7 linked regions of the Canis lupus familiaris genome follow. The protein of the gene in region 5 interacts with the protein of the main gene of each other region in a pairwise test. Links are inferred from orthologs where the notes say so. Each region holds a gene or a part of one and is shown on either strand. Other genes may lie near its edges.

What was found.
Region 1: the proteins of CEP70 (region 5) and ZCCHC10 interact in binary tests that used the Homo sapiens proteins (3 or more experiments, as listed by UniProt). The two-hybrid records come from large-scale screens. The link is inferred for Canis lupus familiaris from reciprocal best matches to the Homo sapiens genes CEP70 and ZCCHC10.
Region 2: the proteins of CEP70 (region 5) and NOL12 interact in binary tests that used the Homo sapiens proteins (3 or more experiments, as listed by UniProt). The two-hybrid records come from large-scale screens. The link is inferred for Canis lupus familiaris from reciprocal best matches to the Homo sapiens genes CEP70 and NOL12.
Region 3: the proteins of CEP70 (region 5) and ARHGEF3 interact in binary tests that used the Homo sapiens proteins (3 or more experiments, as listed by UniProt). The link is inferred for Canis lupus familiaris from reciprocal best matches to the Homo sapiens genes CEP70 and ARHGEF3.
Region 4: the proteins of CEP70 (region 5) and ZNF227 interact in binary tests that used the Homo sapiens proteins (3 or more experiments, as listed by UniProt). The two-hybrid records come from large-scale screens. The link is inferred for Canis lupus familiaris from reciprocal best matches to the Homo sapiens genes CEP70 and ZNF227.
Region 6: the proteins of CEP70 (region 5) and KAT7 interact in a two-hybrid assay, tested with the Homo sapiens proteins (2 studies listed by BioGRID and IntAct). The two-hybrid records come from large-scale screens. The link is inferred for Canis lupus familiaris from reciprocal best matches to the Homo sapiens genes CEP70 and KAT7.
Region 7: the proteins of CEP70 (region 5) and YJU2 interact in a two-hybrid assay, tested with the Homo sapiens proteins (2 studies listed by BioGRID and IntAct). The two-hybrid records come from large-scale screens. The link is inferred for Canis lupus familiaris from reciprocal best matches to the Homo sapiens genes CEP70 and YJU2.

What each region holds. Positions count from the first base shown.
Region 1 is NC_049232.1:21,261,205-21,264,704, reverse strand, and holds part of ZCCHC10 (zinc finger CCHC domain-containing protein 10), read left to right. Parts: intron 1-1,128; coding exon 1,129-1,203; intron 1,204-1,848; coding exon 1,849-2,116; 3' UTR 2,117-3,500.
Region 2 is NC_049231.1:27,924,004-27,928,089, reverse strand, and holds the start of NOL12 (nucleolar protein 12), read left to right. Parts: upstream 1-1,286; 5' UTR 1,287-1,357; coding exon 1,358-1,440; intron 1,441-2,424; coding exon 2,425-2,530; intron 2,531-2,842; coding exon 2,843-2,891; intron 2,892-3,421; coding exon 3,422-3,564; intron 3,565-4,046; exon of another isoform or gene 4,047-4,086. UniProt on the Homo sapiens protein: Multifunctional RNA binding protein that plays a role in RNA metabolism and DNA maintenance. Participates in the resolution of DNA stress and the maintenance of genome integrity by localizing to sites of DNA insults.
Region 3 is NC_049241.1:33,695,477-33,699,643, reverse strand, and holds the start of ARHGEF3 (rho guanine nucleotide exchange factor 3), read right to left. Parts: upstream 2,801-4,167; 5' UTR 2,775-2,800; coding exon 2,652-2,774; intron 1-2,651. UniProt on the Homo sapiens protein: Acts as a guanine nucleotide exchange factor (GEF) for RhoA and RhoB GTPases.
Region 4 is NC_049222.1:111,821,377-111,825,611, forward strand, and holds the start of ZNF227 (zinc finger protein 227), read right to left. Parts: upstream 2,801-4,235; 5' UTR 2,782-2,800; intron 2,774-2,781; exon of another isoform or gene 2,602-2,773; intron 1,895-2,601; exon of another isoform or gene 1,836-1,894; intron 633-1,835; 5' UTR 560-632; intron 116-559; 5' UTR 114-115; coding exon 54-113; intron 1-53. UniProt on the Homo sapiens protein: May be involved in transcriptional regulation.
Region 5 is NC_049244.1:35,301,043-35,305,115, reverse strand, and holds the start of CEP70 (centrosomal protein of 70 kDa), read left to right. Parts: upstream 1-1,273; 5' UTR 1,274-1,418; coding exon 1,419-1,433; intron 1,434-3,094; coding exon 3,095-3,185; intron 3,186-3,347; coding exon 3,348-3,471; intron 3,472-3,792; coding exon 3,793-3,973; intron 3,974-4,073.
Region 6 is NC_049230.1:25,791,379-25,795,560, reverse strand, and holds the start of KAT7 (histone acetyltransferase KAT7), read right to left. Parts: upstream 2,801-4,182; 5' UTR 2,786-2,800; coding exon 2,491-2,785; exon of another isoform or gene 2,307-2,490; intron 29-2,306; coding exon of another isoform or gene 1-28. UniProt on the Homo sapiens protein: Catalytic subunit of histone acetyltransferase HBO1 complexes, which specifically mediate acetylation of histone H3 at 'Lys-14' (H3K14ac), thereby regulating various processes, such as gene transcription, protein ubiquitination, immune regulation, stem cell pluripotent and self-renewal maintenance and embryonic development.
Region 7 is NC_049241.1:55,766,507-55,769,809, reverse strand, and holds the end of YJU2 (splicing factor YJU2), read left to right. Parts: intron 1-836; coding exon 837-984; intron 985-1,159; coding exon 1,160-1,272; 3' UTR 1,273-2,803; downstream 2,804-3,303.

The sequences.
Region 1 (3,500 bases), on a different chromosome or scaffold from region 5:
GGGTCATCAACATTCATATATAATTTTTCCAAAAATAAATTTATGTTAGTACTTTCCTGCTCATCCTCCTTTTCTACTTCCCTTTTCTTCATGTATAAAAATTTAGACATTTTTGAAATACTGGTGTTTGTACTAAGAAAGTAGATAGCTCTAATTATTGGGAATAAATTCTTTTGTAATTTTTTTCCCAGCAAAATTGAAGAAAGACCTAATTGAGCTACCAATTTAAAAGTATTTTTTAGGGGTGACTGGGTGGCTCAGTCAATTAAGCATCCAGCTCTTGATTTTGGCTCAGGTCATGATCTCAAGATCATGAGATCAAGCCCTGCATTGGGCTCCATAAAAGGTATAGGGCCTGCTTAAGATTCTCTCTCTCCCTCTCCCTCTCACCCTCCCCCCCAATAATAAATAATAAATAAAAGTATTTTTTTAAGATATTATTTATTTACTTTATCATGAGAGACCCAGAAAGAAAAGCAGAGACATAGGCAGATGGAGAAGCAGGCTCCATGCAGGGAACCTGATGTGGGAGTCGATCCCGGGACTCCAGGATCATGCCCTGGGCCCGAAGGTAGGCGCTAAACCTCTGAGCCACCCAGGGATCCCCAATAAAACTATTTTTTAATGATTCATCTTTGTGACTTGTGGACCACATCATCGGAGATATTCAAACAGTGACATCACTACAACAATACTCTATTTCCATCTATCTATTTAGGGTAAGAAGGTTTCTTAGGGTTAAATCTATAAATGTTAAATACAGGAATTGAATTAATGCTGAACATTGTCACAATCTAGCAGTAAGATCCAGAGATACATGAGCTAGAAAAACAATCGATGCATTTCAAATAAATTTACTTTGATGTGTGATAATTATTAAAATGTGTAATGTATTCCTATATTATTTTAATCAATTACATAGTAATATTAGTAATGGCAACTCAATTCAGAATTTTATTTTTTAGAAAGGGAGTAAGAGAGGGGCAGAGGGAGAGGGAGAGGCAGGTTATAACAAGAATTACTGGGCTCCGTACATGCCACAAAAGACAGAGTGTTTCTCCAGTGAAAGACAGTTTGGGGGATAGCTGAAGGGTTTATATGAACTGTGTATAATCACTTTATTAACAGGAGCTTCCCCCTCTCTCCCTTCATGTTTATCAGCATCGGAGAAACTAATGTAGAAAGGAAGACCAAGAAAAAAAGGTATGTGTGGCTTTAGGAGTATTATGTGGATAATAAATAATACTAGTGAGAGGAATGGGAAGAATGCTTTAAAAATAATTGTGATAAAGTTTGGATCTGAAGTCTCTTGTTTGTCATTCCTGATTAAGTATCATCCTTATTTCATGATCTGTTCCTCTCTTTACCCAACTGGACCTTTCTGCCTTCACTTTTTTTTCTCCAGCTTTCCAGAGGCTTTCTCCCTGGAAATAGTAAATAATTTCTCTTAAAAATCTCCTATATTAGAATAGGAAATATTATTAGACTGGTAAGAAATTGTTGACCAGCTATATCTGATTCAAAGTAAAGATGTTGAAACACCATGCTACCTGAGGTTTAAGAAAGCCCAGTTGTTCCACTGCAACTTTATTCTAACATTATTCTTCCTGGATCATAGTACAGTAGGAGTACTTATCTTGAATTCTGTCCAAGATAGTTAAAGTGCCAAAGTAAAGGACATTGTGGTTGCCACGGGATTTCTACAGTTATGCAATCCCCAGCGCTTCGGGTCTAGTGATTCCATGCTAGCAGAGCTTCAGTGTATGTAATCGCTTCCCCATGAAATTGCTCTCCAACAATCTGTTAGGTGTCAGCTTCCTGTGCGTGTAACTCCTCACTGTCTACTAGGTCTAAGAGTGTAACCAGTTCCAGCAGCAGTAGCAGCGACAGTTCAGCCAGTGATTCTTCATCAGAGAGTGAAGAAACGTCTACCTCATCCTCCTCAGAGGACAGCGACACTGATGAAAGCTCCTCCAGTTCCTCATCTTCATCCTCCTCCACAAGCTCTTCCTCGTCCTCTGATTCAGACTCAGATTCCAGCTCTTCCAGTAGCAGCAGCACCAGCACAGAGAGCAGCTCTGAGGATGAACCACCAAAGAAGAAGAAAAAGAAATAGAACGCCATCTCTCTTGTACTGCTGGACTCAAAAAATTAATGTGACTTTCGAAAGGGGTATTTAGACTACATTAAGGCCATATAGGGTAACCAGTCAAAATTACTGGAGTTCAAAAATTTCTAAATGTTTTACATCAGAAGAGCATAAAGAGTATTAATGGATTATATATAAGACTTTTTTTATTTTAAGAGTAAATCTTGTTTTTCTTTTTTATTTTTAATATATATCTCTAAAACTTAATCAAAGCTGAATCCAGTAAATCTGTTTTGGGGATGAGACTTATCTTTTCTCCCTGTGAGATAATTGCCATCCTTTGTTATATGTTAGTGCTATGTACCAGACATATTTTCAGGATAATGCATCAGAATATCTGGCAGTGAATTTCTTTTTTTTTTTTTTTTTGGCAGTGAATTTCTAATGCTTTTGGCTGTGTGTTATTATATAAGATTTAATACATTGTTACTATAAAATTAGAAGTGTTCCTCTTAAAAATTGTGCCCTATTTTTATGTTTATGTTCAGAAAGTTATTCTGACTTCTTGTCCTAAATGAAAAGCTCAAGGAACCTGTTATTATATTTATACCTTTTGGATGGTACAAATGTCAAGTTATTGTGTTATATCATCCATTTTCTTCTGGCTCTTAGAGTTACTCTTTTTTTTTTTTTTTTTTTTTTTTTAAGTTCGTGCTGGGCTCGAACTCACAACCCTGTGATCAAGACTTGAGCTGAGATCAAGAGTCAAATGCTTAACTGAATGAGCCACCCAGGTATCCTGTAAAGTTACTCTTTTTCTGAGGAAAATCAATCAGAAGAACCTAAAAAGGAACCAAAATTCTGAAACTACTTAGGAGTCTAATCTTGGTGCCTTTTGATAAATTCTGTGTATTAGAAAAGAGTCATTTAAAAGCCTAACTTAAGGAAAAGTGATACAAGTATCTTTGTGTTGTTATGCTATAAAAGGTAGGAGAGGAAAAAATAGGTACAAAGGTAATTTTAACAGAGAATTAGGGCAATGTTGGTTGCCTTTTATTAAGTTTTTCTAAGCTTTCATAAGGATTGCCTTTTACCATTTTTGCAATTGTGGTATAAGTTTATATGGCAGCTGGTCATATATGACATTCTACTGCATAAATATGAATGACTTGGACTAATCTGGTGTGTTTACATAGCATATACACAGTTGAAGTGTAGCATGAAAGATTAAAAAGAAATATTGCACAATGTTTCTTAAAATACTCTGCTGTGGTGAAATTATTTTGTTTCGCATGACATCATTCTGTGATGTCTTTTAAGCTCTTTGGAAAGAGTTATCATTTGTAGAAAAATCTTGATTCGGGCTAAATATGGGTTTTTAAAACTATGAATGTTGTCTTTTTTATATTTT
Region 2 (4,086 bases), on a different chromosome or scaffold from region 5:
AGATAGAGACAGAGAAACAGGCAGAGAGAGAAGCAGGCTCCATGCACTGGGAGCCCGACATGGGGGGATCCGATCCCGGGTCTCCAGGATCGCACCCTGGGCCAAATGCAGGCGCTAAACCGCTGCGCCACCCAGGGATCCCCGGGCCGTCCTTTAAAAGCAAGGGCAGCAGCTTGTGTGCAGCACCCAGCAGGTGTGACTTAAGAACGGGGGATTCAGGCGTGTGATCCCAGTTACCAAAAGTCCCCGTCAGGCAGTGTTTTACTGAATGCACGCCCTCGTCTTCAGTGGAGTATATGTTATTTTTTTTCTAAAGATTTTATTTATTTATTCATGAGAGACACAGAGAGAGGCAGAGACACAGGCAGAGGGAGAAGCAGGCTCCGCACTGGGAGCCGGATGCAGGACTTGATCCCAGGACCCCAGGATCACGCCCTGAGCTAAAGGCAGATGCTCAACCGCAGAGCCACCCAGGCGTCCCGAGAATGTGTTATTATTACACCCCAATGCCACACCTGGGGAAACTGAGGCACAGACAGGGGAGATGACTTGTGTAGCAAGCACGTGTGTGGCAGGTATTACTTACATGAAGTGTTACGTAACTCACGTTTCCTCCTCCTCCTCATGGTTCTCAAAGTATGGTCCGTGGACCAGCAGTATCAGCACACGCGCGCGCGCACACACACACACACACACCCCCAGAACGAGTCAGAATCGCAGATTATGGGGCTCACTCCAGACCCGCTGAATCAGAAACTCTAGGGCGAGGCCAGGAGATCTGGGTTTCCGCAAGCCGTGCAGGGGATTCCGAAGAACGTCAAAGTTTGAAAACCACTTCCAGGGGATCCCTGGGTGGCTCGGTGGTTCGGCGCCTGCCTTTGGCCCAGGGCGTGGTCCCGGGGTCCCGGGGTCCCGGGGTCCTGGGATCGAGCCCCACGTCGGGCTTCCTGCATGGAGCCTGCTTCTCCCTCTGCCTGTGTCTCTGCCTCTCTCTCTCTCTCATGAATAAATAAATAAAATCTTAAAAAAAAAAAACACTGCTTCGCAATCATAAAGTCACTATAATCATTCCCATTTTACAAATGGGTAACTGCGGCAAAGCGAGGGCAGTTGGTCCGGAACCACAGCCGTAACGTCCTGAGCTCCGGGACTCGCTTTCACCGCCGCTAGCCTAGGAATGGGCCGGGGTTAGGAATCATGGGGCTGGGGAGGCGGGCTCCGCGGCCCCTTTAAAAGGCGGGGCCTGAGGAGCGGAACTGCGCAGCGGGAGTGCGAGGCGCCCCCGGGAACCTAAAAACCGCTACACCCGGAAGTGTCTTAGGCGTGCGGGAGCCGCGCCGCCGGAGGCCGCGCCGCCATGGGCCGCAACAAGAAGAAGAAGCGAGATGGCGACGACCGGCGGCCGCGGCTCGTCCTCAGCTTCGACGAAGAGAAGCGGCGGTGAGTGCGGAGGCTGGAGCGGATCTGCCTCGGGCTGCCGTCCGGGGCCGGGGCCAGAACCCGGGCCGAGCGGCTGCGCTCACGCAGAGGTCCCTTCCGGTCCCGCCCTCTCGGCGCGGCCCGCGGCTCCCCCCGACGCCCCCCGCGGGATGGACGCGCCCGCAGCCCCCCCCGGCCTGGGGGGTGGAATCGCCCGCCCCGCCCCCCTTCCCCGGCTCTGCGCCCCGAGTCCCGCAGTGCGCGCGGCGGGGGGTGGGGGTGGGGGTGGGCGGCAGGGGGTGGGGGTGGGGGTGGGCGGCGGTGGCTAGGGGACCCCCAGGCCTCTGCGTCAAGTCCGTCGGAGGTTCCCCGCCCCGCCCAGAGCGCCACTTTGCCGTGTGGTAGTGGGTCGGCGAAAAGCCTAGTGCTGCTCCCCGGACCCCCCAACATTTGGGAATGGTGCGGCCAGCTCCCGAGAGAAGGAGCCAAGATCACATAGAGGAGGGGAGGGCAGGTGCCGTCCAGGGGCCCTGCAGATGGGTCCAGGGGCAGGTGTCCTGGGGAAATGGGGTGAACTCCAGTGGAAAGTGTGTGGGTGTCTCCGTGAGGGTGGCCTGAAAAGCTCTGCTGGAAGTGGCTTAATTCACTAGGTCATGGGATTTGGCAATGTAGGAGGGGCCCCCACCTGTCCTAGGCTCGTAGGCCCACCTGCCTGGCCCTGTTGAAGCTGAGCCCTGGAGGGATGGGGGTGGAAGGAGCCTCTCGCTCTTCTTCCTGACCTTACACTCCCTATGACCTTTGGCAAGTAGTCTAGCTTCTCTCTGCCTCAGTGTCCCTGTCTGTAAAATGGGCATTGGTACCGACCACACAAGCTGTTGTGAGGAATAGGTGAGTTAACACGTGTGCATTTTTAGAGTGGGTACAGTATTAGTGGTTTTTCTCTTCCTGGGGTGAACCTTTCTTTCCTGTGTGTCCTCCTGACTCTCCCTCGACTCTTTCCTGTAGGGAGTACCTGACTGGCTTCCATAAGCGCAAGGTGGAACGGAAGAAGGCAGCCATTGAGGAGATCAAGCATCGGCTCAAGTTGGAGCAGAAGAAGCTCCGGGAGGAGGTACAGAGGGGAAGGCTGGGGGGGAAGGGGGCTAGGGAGAGAGAGAAAGTGTGTGTGTGCATGTGTGTATCTATATCTATATATCTATATCTGATTCCCAAGGGATTCACATCCTTGGGTGACCTTAACAGGGGCATCTGCAGAAATGAGGGGAGGTGTGGGCAGGCCCGGGGAGCAGTGTGTACATGCTGCATGTGGGCTCGGGTCTGGGGAAGGTGTAGAATGGAATCTCCTGGTGTTTCACTATGAGCTCCTGCCTGGGGTTGGCTGGAGAGGCCATCCTCACTGTGTTTCCTTCCCTTTTGGTTTCAGCGCCATCAGGAATACTTGAAGATGCTGGCAGAGAGAGAGGAGGCTCTGGGTAAGTCACATCTTTGCCCTGAGCTGAAGAAAAGCCAACAGACCTAGACTTATTTATCCCTTGGTGGATGGAAGGGGAGGGGTGTGGGGGCTGCACAGAAGCTAATTTCCTAGTTCCAGGGGTCTTGGTGGTGACGTGGGCCATCGGCCAGGGCTGGTGTTCAGGACCCTCTATAAATGTGGGTGGATCAGAGACAGGAAAGACCAACCTCTTGGTAAAGTGATCCTGAGCAGAAAGCCCAGTTTCTGAAGCCTGGAGGGACTGGGGGTAGAGGGGAATGGGTAGTAGCAGCTGCTGGGGTCACACCAGGTCTGTCCTAAATGAGAACCAGATGGTCTGAAGTCTCCCCAGAGTATCGGAAGGAGTTGAATCACTTACATTTGTCTGCAGACCAGGCTCTGGAGCTGGTGACTTCCTGGACACTCTCCCAGAGTAGAGGGGGCCATTGTACTCCAGGGCTGGGCAGGGGGTTAGAGTCTGGTTACTTGTGCTCTGAGGCTGAGACCTGGTTCTGTGCCCACCTTGCACAGAGGAGGCAGATGAACTGGAGAGGCTGGTGACAGCAAAGACAGAGTCAGTGCAGTATGACCACCCCAATCACACAGTCACCGTGACCACCATCAGTGACCTGGACCTCTCAGGTGCCCGGCTGCTTGGACTGCCTCCACCTGAGGTGAGTGTAACTTCCAGCCCTAGGGAAGATGGGCCCCAGTGCAGCCCTAGGTGCATACTGGCTTGTTGGGGATGCTGAGTGCTGGTCCCTGTTGGGCAGATTCCAGTGCGAGGGGCTCTTTCCCTCCTGGGCATTCTTCAGGGCCTGCACAAAATCCGTGGGGCTTGGAGAAGCCGGTTCTGTGACTCAGTGACTGTGGGAACATGGGCAAGTGTCTGCCTTGCCAACTTTCCTTTTGCCAATAAGTTGAGGGAGAGGGAGGTAATTGATGATAGCACCTGTTTCTTGGGATTGCTGTGAGTATAAAAGCGGTTAATCCAAGTGACGCACCTCAGATACCAGTTTGTGGTGATCACACCACTGCATGGTAACAGCAACGACACAGCCCATTCATGTGCACTGACCGTTTTCAAGCTGTGAGTGGGGAGGTACTCACAGATTGTAACCAGTATTTTAAAAAGATTAAAAAAAAAAAAAAGGATCCCCTTTTAAAAGCACTCAGTGGGCCCTGACTCATGACCC
Region 3 (4,167 bases), on a different chromosome or scaffold from region 5:
CACCACCCTGACCTCGCCCTCTCCGAGTCATACCTCTGAGTGTTCTATCAAGAAAGGCCTTTATAGAATCTGGTTTGAATCAACTTCCCTTTTCGTGGCTACTACTTGGCATCCTGGCCAAGCTGTAAAAACATGGCTGGAATTGGGGCTTTAAAATAAAGTATTGACCTTCCGTGGAATATGCTTCCTTCCCTCAACAAAATCGAACCCTGGTCATCTCTGTATATAAATATGCACTCAGGATTCATGTCTCTGGTGCCCACCAACATTCTACAGTCAATAAGACCTAGGACATGGATCACATTTGCTGAGTTCTGGCTCTGTGTGAGGCACTACTGTGGGTCATTTCATTTATTCCTTATGACAGTCCTATATAGTAGATGTTCTTTATTATCACCATTTTGCAGAGCAAAAGACAGACTAAGAGATATTTGGTAATATGCCTAGGATCACATGGCTAATAAGAGGCAAAGTTGGAACCTACATCTGAGTAGTCCTAAAACCCATGCCCTTAATCATTACACTCTACCATTTCTCCACTGATACAGAACTACCTTGGCCAAATCTCAGAAGATGGATTTATGAGATCTTTAAAGAGTTTGTATCCTCCTTTTCTCTACCATTTACCAATTGACCTCCCACACCCAGTCCCCATTCCTCCAGATCCTTTCCCTGAAAACTCTCAAACCGAGAAATAAATATTTAGTCAGTAATATTTTCAAGAGCAAAATAAAGGTCAACAGCCACCCAGCCAATTACATTGTGAGTTCCAGTTCCTTGGGAAATGTATGTTTAAGTGCACTCATTTAGCTTTGAAATAGGAAATATGTGAGACCTATTTTTGACTTTTTGTACAAGATATTTGCACACCTTAGATTTGTATCAGAACTAAAATGAGTTTAGAGAAACTTCCATTTGACAGGTAGGGAAGCTAAGTCCAGAGAAGGTAGTAATTTGTCTAGATGCCCCTTTGGTAGCTGCTAATTGGACCACAGCAAACATCCACCAAAACAGGCTGACTTGCCAAAGGATAGGAAAGCAAAGTGTTATTGAAGATGCTGCAGATGATGTAGAAAGGGTCCCATCATTGAAATCCTCATGCAGCACCTAATAGCTAAGAATGTCATTTCTGGATCCATTCTGCCTGAGTTTGAAGCCTGATCCACTGCTCCCCAGCTAGGTGACCTTGGGCAAATTATTTATCTTCTCAAAATCGGAGTTTTACCATCTAAAATTAGAGATACTAATAATAGTCAATTCTATAGTGTTGTAGGAATTTCATGAGCTAATGGGAGTAAAGTGCTTACTAATGTGAAAAGTACCTAACAGGGGGATCCCTGGGTGGCTCAGCGGTTTGGCGCCTGCCTTTGGCCCGGGGCGCAATCCTGGAGTACTGGGATCGAGTCCTGCGTCGGGCTCCTGGCATGGAGCCTGCTTCTCCCTCTGCCTGTGTCTCTGCCTCTCTCTCTCTCTGTGTCTATCATGAATAAATAAATAAATAAATCTTAAAAAAGGTATCTAACAAATGTTGGCTAGTATTATATTATTTTTTATTTATGTTGCATTAACTATCACTAAATTGTAGTAAGTCATTTTAAATGTCAATTTCTGTATCTCAAAGGCTCAAAAATGATTCTTTATCAGGTGAGCAAACAGATGGATGAGTCAGATGGGAAAGGAGAAAGACCGTAAAACCACCCAAATCACACAAAAAGATTTAAAATGTATGTCTAGAATGGTCATGTATGAGAGTTGGAGTTAGCATTACAAAAACCAGCCTCAGAATTCCAGTGAGAGGAGTAGAAAAAGCAGTGGACACTTTCTTTGGAAAATAGTGGTGGTTTATCCAAAGCTTTAATACCCACCCACAAACAAAAAGGACAGAGGGAGTCACCTTCAGGCCTCCTAATCATTCTTCAGCCCATAGAAATGTAACATTTCCAGCCATTCTTTCAGACATAACCAAACTAAGCACCAACACTCTTAATGAAAACACCAGTGAGTCTGGATGTCCCCTAATATCTGACTTCATCTTCTCAATGATGAACACATTCACAAGATTCACGATGAGGAAACCTACAAAAAAGTTGTTCCAAGCAGAATGAATTTCCAGAATTGATTTCAGCCATCTTTCAACTCAAAGGAGAAGAAAAGATCTTGGAAATCTACTTTGTGACTTTGTAAACGCCCCCCGCCCCAAACAAAGAAACGCCAGACGGCAGATGCATCCTTTTTTCCCCTCTTTTTTTCCCCATTTAATTGAAAACAGATCTCTTATGAAAATTAAAACAGTAGCATCGTGGAACAAAGAGTGAAAGACACCCCCCTCACACACGCACACACACTCTCTCCTCCAATCACAGATGCTAAAGGAAGCACTGACAGCTAGACGCTCGCTTAACTCACCATCTCCAACCAAGCAACCATTGTGGTCTTAAACACAACCACACAGCTTTTTTTCTGATTCACGTGAAGCAGACAGAAGTCCTCCTCCATCATTCCAGGTGTTTGTAAAGCCCCTCCCTGCCCATTTGTCTTGGGAGGTGAAAGACAGCTTCGCCCTCCTGCACCCCAGCTCCTGGCACCGCCCAGCCAGGCATGGGTGGAAGCTGGGAGCCCATTCATCCCTGGCTCTGCCACAGGGAGCTTACCTGAGCCCTGACAAAGAAGCAGCACCAAACCATGGGGCGCTCTGGCCTCATCCACGCAGAGTCCCCCGCCCCTAATTGCGACGGAGCCCTGCAGACCGGGATTCTCTGAGCTGAGCAGAGCATGGTTTCCCTGAAGGAACTCCTCCCCGCCACTTGGGCTGCATGACAGGAAGTGACAGGGGGCCATCAGTTATAAGTGTCAGAAGCTGAGACCACACCAGCCAAGAGCTCCCCACCTCCAGCGGTTTCCTCGCCGGCTGCTGCTTTTTCAGAGCACTGTGTCTTTGAGCATTTAAAAGCACACCAGAAATTCAGTGTCTGGCTGGCAATCCCCAGCTGGTAAGAAACAAACAATGCTCACTGGGTCCCCACCTAAAGCCATGCCCAGCACTCCAGCAGCTCTAAAGAGTTCTCTGCTAGGACATCAGGCCTGGCGTCTGGAGCTTTGTAGACCTAAACCCAAACATCAGCAGGAGACAGAGAGAGAAGGGACACTGGGAGAACTTTGTGTGTTCAGAGCAGAATCAATAGTCCACTTGAACTTAACCCAAGAGCCAGCTGCCCTGCCCGGGACACAGAGCTGTCACTGAATCCCAAATTCAACTCAATAAATGAGAGTGGTGGTAAACACCACACCCATCCGTTTCTTTTTTTCTTAGGCAAATCTTCTCTTCAGAGCCCCCTTCAAAATAGCTGCTTCTGGAAACCTCCCTCTCTGCTTTTTTTTTTTTTTTTTTTTTTTTTTTAAATCTATCTATTCATGAGAGGGACAGAAAAAAAGGCAGAAACACAGCAGATGGAGAAGCAGACTCCCTGTAGGGAGCCTGATGCGGCATTCGATCCCAAGACCCCAGGATCATGACCTGAGCCAAAGTCAGATGTTCAACCACTGAGCCACCCAGGTGCCCTCCCTTTCAGCCTTTGACATGGATCACGGAAGGCCTTAAAGCTCTTCTCAGAGTGATTATGGAAATAACTCAGGGCTGGCATTTCTCATTTCACAAAATGGGATCTCACCAGAATGAACACCTTGCCCGGGTTGCCTGCCTTTTACAAAACCCAGATCCCTTGGGTGACACAGATTGTCTCACAGACACCTACCAGGTTTCAGGGAAAAGAACAAAACAAAACAAAACAAACAAACAAAAACATGCCCTGTTCAAACCCCTCCACAAATAATTCAACCCCCTCACCCTCCTTGCATGGTAACAGTGGATCTCAAATCCACGGAGACATAATTCCAGTGCAGCTTTCAATTATTATTATTATTATTATTTTAGTTTTCTAATGGAGTAGTATTTGATTTGCAACTTCTAGCTGCCAAGATTGAGGCAAAAGTCTCCCAAGGTTGTCTTAAAAATGCAGATTTTTAAGAACCTCTACTTGTCTGAGCCCTGAGTAAAGTGGGGGACCCAGCAAAGAAAGAACAAGCTTCCAGCTAAGACTGGGCTCTAGGGCATACAAGAAAGCAGGCTCTCCCCATTCTCTCCAGGCAGTGACCTGGCCTCTAACATAT
Region 4 (4,235 bases), on a different chromosome or scaffold from region 5:
CTAATTTTTTAGAAATTAAATCATATCTGAGGAGACAGAAAAGAATGCCTTACCTGAAACTTGGTCATTTTCTCCTGCTCCTTCTGGGGAAGGTCAGAATCCTGAGGAGGCATAACTGGGAAAGGACAAAGAAAGCCATGAGATGCAGGCCAGGGGTGCCACAAGCCCATGTCGATCTTTGCAGAAATTATACAATAGCTCTCCTACTTCCAGGCAGATGTAGCCACATATAGCACGGTAAGCAGAGCATGGAGCAGATTGCAACTACTAAGTCTGTCAGCCTGGGGCCATTGGACAGTGAACAACTGTACAGTTCACTGTACAACCAAATGCAGTATCCCTACTATAAGAATTTCTCATCCTGAGGATGATAGAAAATGAATAGCACTGTTAACATGTAGATTTTTTTTTTAAGTGGGTTCTACAGCCAAAGACCTAGGTTTAAATCCTAGAAATGATACTTACCATCTATATAACATAGGGGGTGTTAAAGAAAAAACTCTCCGTGCCTCATTGAGGTCATCTGCACATGAATATAAGAATTGCAAATCATACCCACCTCATAAGGTTGTTCCTCGGATTAAATGAGTAGATGGAAAGTTCAAAGAACCAGGAGTCCCTTTTTCTTGCAGCTGCAAAAAAGCAGATGATAGTCTGCATCATAAAGTCTTATCTGCAGATGTCTTTTCCATCAACAGCAAAAAAGACCTGAAAGATATCTGGACTATATGTATTAATGCTCTCCTATGAAAATCATCTTTATTCTCTGAAAATCCTAATTCTGACTTAAAATTCCTTCTTATCTAAAAATAAATAAGTACATACATTAATAAATTTCTTAAGAATTTGTTGCTCACCTAATAACATTTTATCCACACTGTTATTAGCATCATTTCCAATTTACTTCATGAAGTAAAAAACGATTATTGGTAAAAAGCCTTTTATCCTATGAACATGGAGGTAAAAAATAAAGATACAAAGTATCAAGACAGAAGATAGATTGAAAGGCTCCAACATTTGTCCAATAGAAGGAATATGAGGAAAAGAGAACAGAAGAAATGTCAGAGAAGTCTTAATTCAAAAGATAATTGCTAAGTTCATATACACCAGTTCTGAACAGTGTAAATAAAAATAAATACACTCCTGGGATGCCTGGATGGCTCAGTCAGTTAAGCATTCCACTCTTGATTTTGGCTCAGGTCGTGATCTCAAGGTCATGAGATCCAGCCCCACCTTGGGCTCTGCACTGGGCATAGAGCATGCTTAACATTCTTTTTTTTTAATATTTTATTTATTTATTCATGAGCGACACACACACACAGAGAGAGAGAGAGAGAGGCAGAGACACAGGCAGAGGGAGAAGTAGGCTCCAGGCAGGGAGCCCGACGTGGGACTCGATCCCGGGTCTCCAGGATCACGCCCTGGGCTGCAGGTGGCGCCAAACCGCTGCGCCACCGGGGCTGCCCCCATGCTTAACATTCTTTCTCTCCCTCTCCCCTGCCTCACTTCACTTCTAAAATATTTTAAAAATAAATACATCCTGGAGGATCCCTGGGTGGCTCAGCGGTTTAGCACCCTGAGGGCAAGGTGCCCTCTTGCCCTCCAGTTTAAAAAAGGTGGTGGTTGTGAGGGGCCATCATCAGATATCAAGTATGTGTTAAAACTCTACGTTTCTCAGAATGAGAACACACGCTGATTAAATTCAGTATCTGGGACAGACAACCGTTTTTTATTCCAAACCAGTTGAGAGCAAACAAAAAGAAACAAAACTGAAGAAAGGAGAGCAAAAGAAATATACAACGCGATCAATTTAAAAACAAATACATATAGGGCACCTGGGTGGCTCAGCAGTTGAGTGTCTGCCTTTGGCTCAGGGTGTGATCCCGGGGTCCCGGGATGGAGTCTCGCTCGCATCAGGTTCCCCGGAGGGGGCCCGCTTCTCCCTCTGTGTCTCTGATGAATAAATTAATATTTTTTTTAGGAAAGTATATTTAGAATACACACACTGACACATGTTAACAAGATCAAACATGCCGCAGATTGGTGCAACAAACACTTGCAACATTTTCCCAGCAGTAATTTACTCAGGGAAGGAAACCCAATGAACTGAAAACGGAAGAGGACAGACCAAGAAAGTACTCTGGCTGGGAGGCACCCGGGGCGGCGGGTGGAGGAACCAGGGGGTCCGTCCTTCCTCTCCTTTCCCGAGTCGGGGACTGTGAGGAAAGGGGCCCCGCGGCCATGGCCAGGGCGAGCGCGGGGTCCTCGGGCCCTCCCGACGGAGAGGTGGGTAAAGCTCGGGAAGAGCTCAGCGTCCGGGAGGACGACCGCAGGGCCGAGTCATTGCTCCCAGAGCCCCGGCCTCCCTGCCTCCCTCCCTCCCTCCCTCCGCTGGGGCTTCCAGGCCAAGGGGCGCGGGCGGCAGAACTCGCGTTCCCAATAGCAAGAGCCACCCCGCTACCCGTGCCGCCACCGTTCTAAGCTTTGAACACGTATCGTCCCGTTTCCTGCGAATCACAACCCTCCCGTGTTTTCCCGCTCGCTCGCTCCTTTGCGGAGGAAGACCGTAGGGCGCAAAGAACAAGTCGCCAGGTAGTGTACCGATGCGAGCAGCAGCGCCGCTTGGTAAGAGGGGGAGGAGAGCGTCTGCCCTCCGTGTCTCAGCCCTCGCCGGCGGCCGCGACTTCTCCATTCTAAGACGGCCGGCGAAGTAGCGACTAGTCCCACGCTCAGGCCGGGAGGGCTCCGAGGCGTCGGGGGTGGGGTGCAAGCCTGACTCACCTCCGGACTTCCGAAAACATGGCGGCCGCCTTGTTTTTCCGGGGCGGAAGTGCCTCCGACTCCGCGGCGCCCCGGAACTACATGTCCCAAGACGCCCCCAAGGGGAACAAGCGCTGCAGCGGATCCTTGGTTCCCGACAGAGTTGAGGACTACAGTTCCCAGAGCCCCCAAGAGGAGGGAGAACTATGTCAGCCCCCGTAAGCCACCTCCTTCCCCACCCTCTAGCAAATCTCCCCTTTGGTAGTTCGAGGACTGCAACTTGCAGAATCCGCGTTATGGTTTCTTATTTTGCAGGCATAAAGCAGTTCTCTGGCGCCAGTGAAGTTGAGTTTTTTTTTTTCCAATTGACAAAACATACTTAGCTGATACTCGAATAGTCAGTCTTAGAATAAAATAAGTTTGTAACAAGCAGATCACGTGAATCTTTACAAAATAAAATTGTATCCACTACTACTAGACAAAGAAGGGATAAAATGATAGTCTTTATTTTGCAGTTTCAGTCACTTTTTAGATCTTAAAAAAAAAGGATGAGAGATTTTTAAAAAGATGCAATGAAGACAGAATATATTGTAGATGTCAACTTTTGTGAATAGCACAAATAATTCAGAACTTGACTTTTAAGTTAACTAAGGCATACTCAGAGTAAAAAGACAAGCTTCAGAACACATGTATGATCAATTTCCCAACTGGGGGGTTTGCAATCATTCCTCAGATTTCTGAGTTTGAAGGATGAATACATTATTGTTAATTACATTTTTATGCAATGGTCGCTGTAAAGAACTATTGTTAATTGCTCAAATCTATGATAGAACTGATGTTTCAAAGAAATAAAGATGGGGAGCAGAGAGGAATACCTAGAAATATCCATATATTCAATACAATATATGTTTTCAGATCTTATTTACTGAACGTTAGGCAGGAAGTCAGGCATGACTGACTACAGGAGAATGGGCCTTAGATGTCCTGATGGAGAGCCCCAAACAAGGATTGCCCAGGGACCACCTTATCCCATCCTATTGATTTGTGTTTACAACATCCTGGCAGAGGAAGAGTTAAGTTTGTTGTGCTTGTTGCACTTGGGCAGAAAGCAGCCTCTTGTCCTTATTTGACCTATCTCCAGAATAGAAATAGTGTCGCAGTTTCCTACCCTGCCCAGGCATTTCCAATATATTTTGGGAAAGGACATGTGTAGTTGGCTAGTTATTATATAATCCAGGTCTGTCACTCAAATGTCAGGACCCTAAGACCAGCCCAAAAGAAAAAGTTGAGATAAGCCCACACCCTGGAGTATGTCCTGGGCAGGGGAGGTGCATTGTCTCTGTTGATTGGCTTACTCCTCCCTTGGAGTGTACTTACACAACTTCACTTTCATTTCACTGTCCTGCAATTCCTTTCTATGCCAGTGAAAAGGACTGAGGCTTCTTTTCCTTTTCCATCTACCTCTCAATAAAAAA
Region 5 (4,073 bases):
CATTGAAGAAATGAAATAAGAATGCAAGAATGTTGGCTTTCATTGAAGCTGTATTCGTGGATTTATTATACTTTCTCTATTTTTGTATATTTCTAAAAATTTCTCTAAATTTACATTTATTTATTTATTTTTGTATATTTCTAAAAATTTCTCTAATACAGTTAGGCAACGTGAATATTTTTTATTGCCAATCTACTTCTTCTGATTTAACAAAAGATACTATATCTCCAGCAGCCCCTAAAGCCTAGGAGAAATTATAACTAGGTGAACGGTTTGTAAAAGCAGGATGGGTTACCAAAGTAAGGGTGGTTGAGTTGTTAAAGAGACCAAAGCTTACAGGGGAGATAGTATGACATTAAGCACAAAAGTGGCAGAATTTGGGAATTTGTAACATGTTATTGGGTTTATCTGAAAATAAGGTAGAAAGACTGTACCCTGTAGACCAGACTTAAGGGTGACTGGTAAATTGTTTGGTTGGATTTCACTATCTGAAACAGACATAAAAGAGTAGAAGGGTGCTTTGGAAGAAATACTACCTGGCAGTGAAGAGGCCTACCTTTTTCCTTAGTAATTCTGAGAAGATCATTTCACTTTTCTGGGATTCAGATGGTTATAGTACCTGATGTCTTGGTACAACTCTCTCATATGCTGCTCTGCCAGCTATGAACAGCTAGAGATTTTGGATTAAACACTATACAAGGTCCTCTCAAGATCTAAAAGTTCCTGATGCTAATGAATGTGTATGATTGTGCTTCTTGAAAGGAGGAATTATATCTACATACCAAAGAATCCAAATTTCCCTATAGGATGATAAAGTCTTAGATGATAAGAAGAAGTAATGGTAGGGTAGACTGAATATAAACTTTTGTGTCTGCCAGTCACACAGAATTCTTTGTTGCTAGCCTCTGATCTACTTAGAAATACAGACTACCTAAGCAAGTGGCACTGCATTTACCCTTGGTGTTTAGTCCAGTGAATTGTTAGACTGGCCTATAACTTTGGGTCAGGTATAGTTCTTTTGGCTTCAAGAAGCAGCTTCCACAAGATAGCAGTTTATTTATTAGTAGCACGTGCTTTGTACATATCTAATTAAAACAAATAGTTCTGTGTGTATGTGTAAAACTCATAATGTTTTATTTCTAGAGGAGAACATTATAAGATAGGATTTATTCTAATGATTCTTAAAATCAGCTTTCTAGGAAGTCATACAAGTTTTGACACAGGAATGCTCAAATTGCCTAAGGGTTATCCATTCTTTTAAATATAATTTTCTTTAACACCTATTGAACTTTTTCTTTTTTCATTTAGGCAACGTGAATATTTTTTATTGCCAATCTACTTCTTCTGATTTAACAAAAGATACTATATCTCCAGCAGCCCCTAAAGCCTAGGAGTCCAGTAAATCATTAAACAGACTCATGACTGAAAAACAGGTAAACTTGAAATATTATATATATATTATAAATAATATATATAATTATATATAATAACTATATAATTATATATATATAATTTGATCATTCAAAATGTGTGGCATTATTTACAGAGTATTTGGTTTTTATGAGTCATAGTAGATAGCCACTGAGATGCCCACATAGCTTTTGGTTCCTAAAGCAGATAGCTTCAGTAATTTTAATTCTGGATCATGAATCTTTGTGACCAACAACATAAATAAGGGAAAAGATTGTAGGAGGAGAAGTGTGGAAGGGATAAAGAAGGTGAAGAAAGTCAGCAGTCAAAAGGAAAGATTTGGTGCTGTTAGTAATAGTGCTATTGTAGTCATACCAGTAGAGAGCTTAATGTTTGGGGGCATTTGAATGTGGAGAGTAGTATTTTTATATGTACTTTGTCTATATTAATCTTTAAGCTATTACAATATTTAATACTATATCACTAGTAAAAAAACTATTTTATAAATTATATTTTTCAAGCACTTAAACATTGATTGTAAATTCACTCAGATTACCTTTTCAAATATACTCACATAACTTAAAAAGCAAGTAAATTAACTTCACACAGTGATTTCAAATTGATCATTGTATTTACATTAAAAGACTATTAATATCATGGGTTTAAATATCCAAAAAATCATCTCTATTTTTATTCTTATCTGTATTGTATATTCTTACTACCTTTTCTTCCCATTATTGTTTTTATTTACTTAATTTAGAGAGTTAGGGAAAAAAAAATTTAGAGAGTTAGGGTCCCCCTCTCAGGTTTATGGTACGAATAGGTATTTAGAATCAGGGATACAAAACTTGAGAATATCTTTCAGAGTGACGCTACTAGAATCAGTTACTTAGATGGACAGACTCCTTTTTATAGTTAGACCTTGTCCACTATACAAGGGACTATCTACATCATTGGCTTTGACTATTCAGGCATTTTGATTTTTTTTGGTGACCTTATTCATTAAGTGGTACTTGTTTCTGTGTGACTTGCATTTAATTTACTGTTCAGTAAATATGACCTAATTGGCAGCTGTTTCTTATCTTTCTTTAAACTTTGGTCAAACCTTTTTTTTTTTTTTTTTTAAGATTTTATTTATTTGAGAAAGAGCAAGAGCCTGCACACAAGCAGGGGTAGTAGGGTCAGAAGGAGAGGGAGAAGCAGACTCCACACTGAGCACAGAGCCTGACATGGGTTTGATCCCATGATCCTGAGATCATGACCTGAGCTAGAATCAGATGCTTAACCAGCTGAGCCACCCAGGCACCTTGCAGCTGTTTCTTTTGAGTAGGGCCTGGTGTGATTTGGTTAAGCAAAAAAACCCTAAGGTTTGTTTGGTTCATTGAAATTACAAGGTGTTTTTTGGTTGGTATTTTTGTTTCAATTTATCCATTACAGCCTATATGTATGAGTATGGAATTATATAATGTGCTTTATTATTTGTGCTTATTTGCATTCTTTTTGATCTGCTAATTTTTTAGACATTTGTTTTAATTTTAATCATCATGTGTGCATAAAAAATTCATATTAAGAAACTTTGGAGAAAAAGTTCCATTATTTTGTAAACAAGGAAATTATATTTGAGAGGGTGTTTCTTCACTTTATATATTGAAGTTGATCGTTCTCTCACTCCTTGTAATTACAGCGAGAAGAAGCAGAATGGGAAAGCATAAATGTGCTGTTGATGATGCATGGCTTAAAGCCTTTATCTCTAGTCGAAAGAACTGATCTTAAAGGTAATCAAATCCTATTCTTGCTAGATCCTATCCTTTCTCATTATGGTAAAAAAATTGTTTTTCCTTTTATTTTTTTATTATTATTTTTTTTCCTTTTAAAACTAATTTTTATCTTAAATTTTTTTGCCTTTTTTACTATCTGTATTATATTAAAAAATGTAGATCTCATCGTTTTTGATAAACAGTCATCACAAAGGATGAGGCAGAATTTGAAAACATTGGTGGAGGAAACAACACGTCAACAGAACATGATCCAGGAGCTCATAGAAACTAATCAGCAGCTTAAGTAAGAAAACAGAATTCTCTTTTGAATTGTTTGTATACCAGTGGTATGCATTCTAAAAATAATGCCTTGAATCTTGAACTTTAATTTTCTATTTTGACTAAATATTAAGTTTAAAAAATATTTTTAGTAGGTAAATCTTTCAGTAATAGCTTAGCTTAGATATGTAAGGGTGCCTTGTATTTCTTCCATTGGTTTGTGTTATATGACAGAAATTTTAACAATGCAATGAAATTTTAGAAATTCGTTATGTTGTTAGATGAGTATGTTTGTTAATGTGATTTCCTTCTATACTAAGGGAAGAAATCATGTGTCTGTTTTTAGAAATGAACTTCAGCTAGAACAAAGCCGAGCAGCCGATCAGGAACAACGAGCTAATGACTTGGAACATATTATGGAGAGTGTGAAATCCAAAATTGGTGAATTGGAGGATGAATCCCTAAATAGGGTTTGCCAGCAACAGAATAAAATAAAAGATCTTCAAAAGGAATATAAAGCTTTACAGGTATTATGTGTTTTCTTATATGATAGTAGTAAAACAGCTCATTAAGGTCACAGGTGACTTCTATGTCACTTAATTCAGTGGTCTTTATCTTATTGACAGA
Region 6 (4,182 bases), on a different chromosome or scaffold from region 5:
TTCCATCTGAACTACTGCCTGCATTCCTCTGTAACACCATAGATCCAGACATTAGCACAGAAGCATTTACTCTGTGGGTTTGTGTTAACACTGGAAATAAAATGAACCATGATACTGAAAATACTAAGGAAGGATTCAACTGCCAAACACTCTTTTCTTAAAGCATTTAAAATGGAACAACCTACAAATAAAGCACCTTTATTAAATGAACGAAAGATAATTAATTCTTACTTTATTAACACTAATTCTGTAATAAGTCCATTTATCAGTCAGTACTACAAACTGGAAATAAAAGTACCCCATTCAAAATGGTCTGGCTGACATAACTATGCACTTAAAGTCCATGGTGGTGAGAAATCAATGCTAGAGTCCTTTTAACTTTAGAGCAGCTTTTGTTCAAAGTCTCCACAAACAGCCATCACATTATTTTAAACATCTACTAATTCTAAATATCATGGTCCACAACTCTGATACCAAGAGAACTTAAAGACTAAAATCCTTCTTCCTTATGTGGTCTAACTATGAAGTTTCTCCACACGAATACCAAAGTGCTTAAAAAAAAAAAAAAAAAAGGCAGCTTCCACATGAAGACTTGTAGATACTCAAAAAGAGATATTATCATCTCCTTAATTAATAATTATTTGTCAATTATTAGCTTCCTGAACCATGATTAGCCATACAGATAACTTTTAACAGTTGAACATTAACACTATACCCTTTACCAAGCCAAAAAGGATAGAGAATTTGCTTAGAAAACCATACAAAACTTCAAACTACAAGCCCCTTATTTTCTATTCAAAACCCTTCAGGCCAGTTGTGTTTGAAATTCATAACTTTTTGGCTTTTTGGAAGAGAGATATTTTGCATATATCCCGCAAGTAACGCCTCATCATCAAACACATTAGTATTATTTCTACAGCAGGACATATAAACAATCACACCCAATGAGACACACAAAAACTCTAAGTAGCCTCAGGATAGTTCAGGACAGATTCAGCCAACCAAGTAAGTTACTAAAAACACTTACATTTTCAAAAGCTCTTTGTATTTGGAAACTGCAGAAAGGGGACTGTGGACCTATTCCAAGGCACCAATACTATTCCAGCATTTGGTGAGCCTTAACATAAATACCGTCTACCAATGTAGACCATTTAAGAAGATAAAAGGTACAAATACTTTATTTGAAAACCTCTGTGAAAAGAAATATTTCTGCAGAAATGAGCAAGAATACCACACAACTTTCCAAATATATCAAGGGTAACCTGCCCAGAAAGAAGCAGAGGCTCCAGAGTCACAGAAAATCCCTAAGATGAAGGGAGGAATCTTATAGGTCATCTAGTCCAATTACCTAGATAGTTCGATCCCTGACCATTCCCTCCTGGTTTGACCCTGGAATTCAGCTCTTCTCTCTGGCTTCCACCATCTACTTCCCATCTTACTCCAAAGCATACTTAATTGCTACCTCACTTCCCTCCCACAACACTTAGTATATACCATATACCCCCAAGTAGAGAATTTACTAGCTCCTTCTACAGTTTTTTATGTCCGTTTTCCCCATCAGACTGTGATCTCCTTAAGCCAGGGATCATGTCTAATTAATTCGTGAATCCCCAGCAACTAGCACAGTAGCAAGTAGTCAATAAACATGTGTTGAACTGAATTAGATTTGTTCTGTAGTCCTGGCTCCGTCGGCTACTGCCTAATGGGAGTGGCTTGGGGGCACTCCCATCAGGCCTGTTTGTACAGCTGCAAAGAAAAGGGATGGGGGTGTCCCTAGGTGACCTCAGACATCCCATCTAACTCGAGAAAGTTTTTGCTTTACAAACGGCATTTTCTGGCCGCTGTCCAATTGGGCCAATAGGGAAAAATTACGGGCTCAGACGCAACAGGCCTGAGTGGGATCCCCCGGGAGTGGGCGCTGGTTCCCTACCACCCAGTCCTCTGCTTTGTTGTGCCCCCCGCCTGGAAAGGAAGGATGCTCCAAAACGCCGCCTATGCACCTATCAGCATCAGCGGCCGGAAGGGCGGGGATTCGCGCCACCCAATGGCGCTACTGCTACACCGCGCCCCCACGGGACAGACTGCCAAGCCAAGCCAATCATGAGAGGAGGGATCGTTCTCCACAGCCAGTGGGAGCGCGGCAGGGCCGGGCCCCGACACCGCCCCCGCACGCGGGGAGGTGACCGTTGGACCCAAATGGGCGGTGCCACCAGCCAATCAATATGCTGCTAGGCGTTTCAGCGACCAATTACCGAGAAGAACGCCTCCGAGCCAGGCAAGCAGAGGGCGGGAATAGTTGCAAGCACAGGCCGAGGCCAGGATCGGGCCCACATTTTTCTGTTGGGTATGGACAGGAGGGAGGCTTGCTGAGCTAGGTTCGGGGAAGCGGGAAGTTGGAACCCAACCACTGTGAGGCGTGGCTAACTGCGTCACGTTGCTCAATCGACTATCCTCAGACACCCGCCATCCCTTCTGTCCTGTTCCCCTCACCTTCCTTCGCGGCATTGCCGGCGGCTGCGGCCCGACAGTTCCGATTCGGGCAGCGGCGGCAGCAGCAGCAGGAACGGTGGCTCCGGCGGGCTCCGTGGCGGCCTCTGTAGCAGTCCCAATCCTGCGGACGATCCCAAGTGCCTCCTGCTTCACAGCGTCTAGACCCTTCTGCGCAGGCGCCGCGGGCTGAGGCGCTTTTTCCTTCACTTCCGGCTGGGGCTCGCGTCACCTGACGCTGCGGGCCGGAGAGGGTGCTGGGAGGTTCGCTCCTCTTGCTGAGGCTAGTGAGCGCCATTTTGGAGTTGGGCAGAGAGGTAGCCCAGTGGTAGAAATCCAGGCCAGCCATTTTTAGTTAGGGGGTTTGGTACATTTTGCGGACGTGGGCAGCCATTCTTGTTTGGGGCTGAAGCCTGACGGTAGAAGCTAACGGTTCTCATCTTTACCTTGGGCAAAATTTCCCTTCCCGGTCGTTTTAATTTCTGAAGTCGAGGAAGGAAACCCCCAGAATCCATCAGGTGGCTGAAGTTTAACCCCTTCGTTGCCTAATTGGCTAAAGGGCATTCCTGTTTATCGTATAAACTCAAAGTTGGGAAGGGATATTTTGCCCAAGAAATTGTATTTCAAAAGCCATCCTGTGTCTCAACGTGATGGGAATGGGGGCGTGTAAAAGGAACTAAGAAGGGTAGCGTCCATCCTCAGGAAGTTTGTTGTCTGGTAGAGGAGACATTGTCCTTGCCCGTAGAGAGCAGCAAGTCCTTCACGTCGCGGAAGGAGGCAAAACCATTCTCCAGCAGCGGTAGCTCCAAAGAGTTCCCAGTTTCGCTCTAGGGTGAGCGCCCAGCTCCTTCCCCGGTTCTGTGCGGGTGTGAGAGCCGTGGGTGGGGGTGGGGCGGGGGCGGGGCGGGGGCCGGTGAGGTACCAGAGTCAGAGGAGCGGTGAACCCCGTTTAGCCCAAGTGAGCCCTGGAGATCTAGGTGCTTGCGCCAAGAGTTGAGGGAGCGAAGAAGAGGAAGGAATATTTTTAGTGAAGCTAGAGTTTAAAAAAAAAAAAAAAGCATGGCTATTTAAGTAGTAATAATGCTGATAATCAAAGGGTCAGTTTTGAAAGGGGGGAAAAGTTGGTCAGGGATAGAAGGCAAGAAGAGCCATTTTAATAAGCTGGGAAGTGGAGAGCAGACGTTGAGGATTTAACCTCGCGGCTTAAAATGCTTTGAGAGGAGCAAAGCCTGCGGAAAGCAACCGGGTGGAAGCCAGGCGTGCTCAGTCATTTGTTAGAATCCTGGACCCCAGTTTCACCTGAGACGCCCCCCCCCCCCCCCCCCCCGAGCTAGATAACAAAGCAGCAGAAGGTAAACCATCTAACTGATGAGAAAAACAGAGGATTCTGAAGAGTTCAATGCCAGCACTGTCGTCGGGAATATTCTGGGCCGGTGGTAACACGGGCAGCAGCTTTCAGCATTTAGGATTTAGCTTTTGGTGTTTGGTATAAATACTTCTGAATAACCTACATAAGAACATGTTGGACAAGGGCTTCACGTTTCTTCCTCTCCTATCCCTTCTGCATTTAATTTCCCACTATTACTGTTACTTTGCACTTCCTCGTGTGCTCTTGAGGTCCGTCTTGGATGCTCTGGTGCTAAGAGCATATCTCGGCTTGGGGGTATCGTCCTTAATAGTGTGCCCAGACCGCAC
Region 7 (3,303 bases), on a different chromosome or scaffold from region 5:
CTTGGTGTGCCCAGCCCAGTGCCCCCTCCGGCCCTGCCTCCGTCTCTGCGTCTCCACTCGTTCGCTCCTCACTCTGAGGTCAGCCCACAGTCCGCTCTTTGAGGGACCTGTCCTGACCCCCGACTGGCTGCTGTTCCCTCATGCTGTCACACCGTTTGTCCGGACAGATGTTGTCCTGTTGATCTACTCCCTCCTCCGTCCTCCGTCCTCCCTCAGATGGTGGCCCCCAGAAGGCAGCACCCTGCCCACCATGCCCCCTGCAGCTCCAGCCCCTCACTCAGGCAGGACCTTCTGAGTCCAGGGGATTCCAGTTCCTGTGTTTCAACACAAAACTGATGAAAGGGGCCCCTTCCCAAGGAGTTGAAGAACTGGAGGTGGGGCTGAGCCCCTCTCTGCCTTCCCATCACAAGTCCCCAAGGTGGGCACCTGGATCTTCCCTCCTATCAGACACTTTGGTAGAGCATCTTCGTGCCAAGACTTGTTTGTGGTACAGTGTACCCCGTCGTGAACAAGACAGGAACCCACAGCAGAGACAAGGAGCCCACTTAATGAGGCAGTGGAGGGCACTGGGGGTGTGGACACGCAGCCCTCGCTTGGGCTTCAACTGGGAAGAAAGGTTTCCCAGAGGAGCTGATACTTGGGATGGGTATTGAGGGATGTGTAGGAGTTCACAGAACACATTAGAAGAAAGGGGGGCATTGCAGGTGGAGGGAAGGGCATGGGTAGAGGCCCAGAGGGGAGAAGATGTGATGTGATTTAGGAAGCATAGGTGCAGGGAGCCCAAAGAAGGTGGGATCTGGGCCAGCTCACCCGCTCTTGTCCCCCCTCGCCCCCAGGCACCAAAAGCCAAGAAGAAGGCGGAGAGCTGGGAACGGAGCGTCGGCACCCTTGGCAGCAGGCCGCAGCTGTCAGGCCTCGTTGTGGTGAAGAAAGCAGACCTGGGTCGCAGCACCCAGCAGGGCCAGGTGTCCCCCACCCCCCAGGGTAGGTGTCCCAGGGTGCTGGGACCGCTGTGCGGTTCTTTGGGCAGCCACCAGGTGGCAGCACACACCACCCCCAGTGCAATTGGGGAGCTTGGGAACCCACTGCATGTAGGGGAGAGGGTTGCCCCCAGGATGCAGGGTGGAGGCCCCCTAGGCTAGCTCTCCCTCTCCCCCAGGCCCAGCGAGGAGCGGGAAGGCAGCTGACTCTGCAGCCTGGACGCCTGGTGCCTCCTCCCTGAGCCAGCTGGGAGCCTATTCCGACAGCGAGGACAGCAGTGGCAGCAACTGAGACCCCAACCCAGGCACGTCCCCAGGTCAAGGTCCCATCCAGCTTCAGCTGGTGGTCAGAGCAGGAGGTCTCGGCTGACACCTGAGCCATGCATGGTGGACAGACCCAAAAGTCCTCTGAGGCTGGCCAGACCAGCGAGGGCTTCGGCCGAGGGACTGTTTCTCCCTGTCCCCCCACCACTGACCCCTAGGACCTTGGGGTCCCCAGCGCACACTGCCGTCCTCCTGGCCCTCCGTTTGGGGCTGTGGCATCCCTGGAATGGCCCTCAGCTCCCGGCAGGCCCCTGCTGTACTCTCTTGGGTGGCCGTGTTGAGGGCAGGCAGGGAGCCCAGCCACCCCCATTAGCTCGTCCCCTGCGGCCACGACAGAAGGAACTCGCTGTCCAGCCGGGGCACCTTCTCTGCCAGCTGCTGAGGAGAGGCCACAGAGGCGCACGATGCGGCCTCCTCGCTCCTGGAAGCCACAAGATTGGGAAGGTGCTGATTAGTGCAAGTTTGGGGAGAATTTGTTATGTGGCCATAGTGCTCCAGGATGGTCACATGACCAGTGAATCGAGTCCGACGCTCAGGGTCTTTCAAGGTTGCCACGTTTCAGCTCTGGTACAACTCTCTCCCCCTTCACAGCTTCCTAGTTGAAGGCGGTGTGCTCCCGCCAGGCCCCCTCGCCACCTGACCCCCGGCTCTGCTCTCCCGCCCCTCCCGGGCTCACTGGCCTCGCCCTCCTCTCTCTCTCTCTCTCTCTCTCTCTCTCTCTCTCTCTCTCTTTCTCTTTCACATGCACGCAGCACGCACCTATGCACACATGCGCACACGCACTCATTTGGCTTTTGGTACCAAGGCTTTGTGTGTCTCCCGCCGTGTGTGAGCAACAAAGCCCCCCACTTTCAGGATCCACTTTCCTACAGTGATTTCGTGCTTCAGTGTGACTTGAAGAAGCGAACCAGGATCCAGCCAGGCCCCAGGTCCTCCCCTCACAGCTCCCGGCTGTGAAGACAGGCCGTGGGGGCCCCAGTTTCAAGCGCCAATGGTGCTGGGCTGAAGCCAGCTCCCTGGCCGCTGGCCAGAGCTGATGCACGGGGCACCCCACTCCCCAGTCCTGCCCTCAGCCGCATCCTGTTCACAGCTTCCAGTTGGCCGCGGCAGGAGGATTTACATCACAGGAGTCCATGCACTTACAGATGGGTGCCCCGCGCCAGAGAGCCAGCTGTGGGCATTCCCAGCGTGCCCCTGCCTGCCTCCCCAAGGTCAGTGTCAGTGTCGCACGGTGCCCCGGACGTGTGTGTTCATCCTGGCGGCTGGACTAGAGCAACCGACCGAAGCACTTGTGCAAGAGATTAGTAGGAGACTCAGGGCCTCCCTGGTTCACGCATTCTTGCAGACCCTTCCCTGAGCTCCTGTCCTGTGTGGCCCACCCTCGTCGCTGTGTGCAGGTGCCATCTGTTACTATTATTAAGATCATCGACTCTAACACATGGAGTAGCGAACCTGGCCCACAGCCTATTTTTGTGAATAAAGTTTTATTGGCACAGCCACATGCCCATTTGTATCCATGTAAGGTCCAGACGCTTTGCTCTATGGTGGCAGAGCCAACAGGTTTACGAGTCGCTCCCTGACAGTGGGACTTCGTCAGCCTCTGTCTGGGTCGCCCAGCTCTACACTTCCTGCTTGTTCCCCACAGCCTCCAGGGGAAGGTGGCCAACACCCGTCCACACCTCGATTTCCAGGCTCACACCGCACCTGCGACTCTGCTGCCTGGGGTCACCCTGAGGACAGAGACCACCTGCCCTTGCAGTGTGGCACAGGGAATGAGGTACATAGGATCCGTTTAGTGAGTAATAGTTAACGTCTGTGAAGTACTCCCCACTTGCCAAACCTGTGCTAAGCTGGTTGTGCAGATTCACTCGTTTGAGTTTCCCAAATCAAGTCGCTCACTCAAAACATACATATATGTATAATTTATATATAAAATAGATATTATAATATGCATATAATTTATACATAAAGTTTATAATATAATTAAGTTTATATGTAA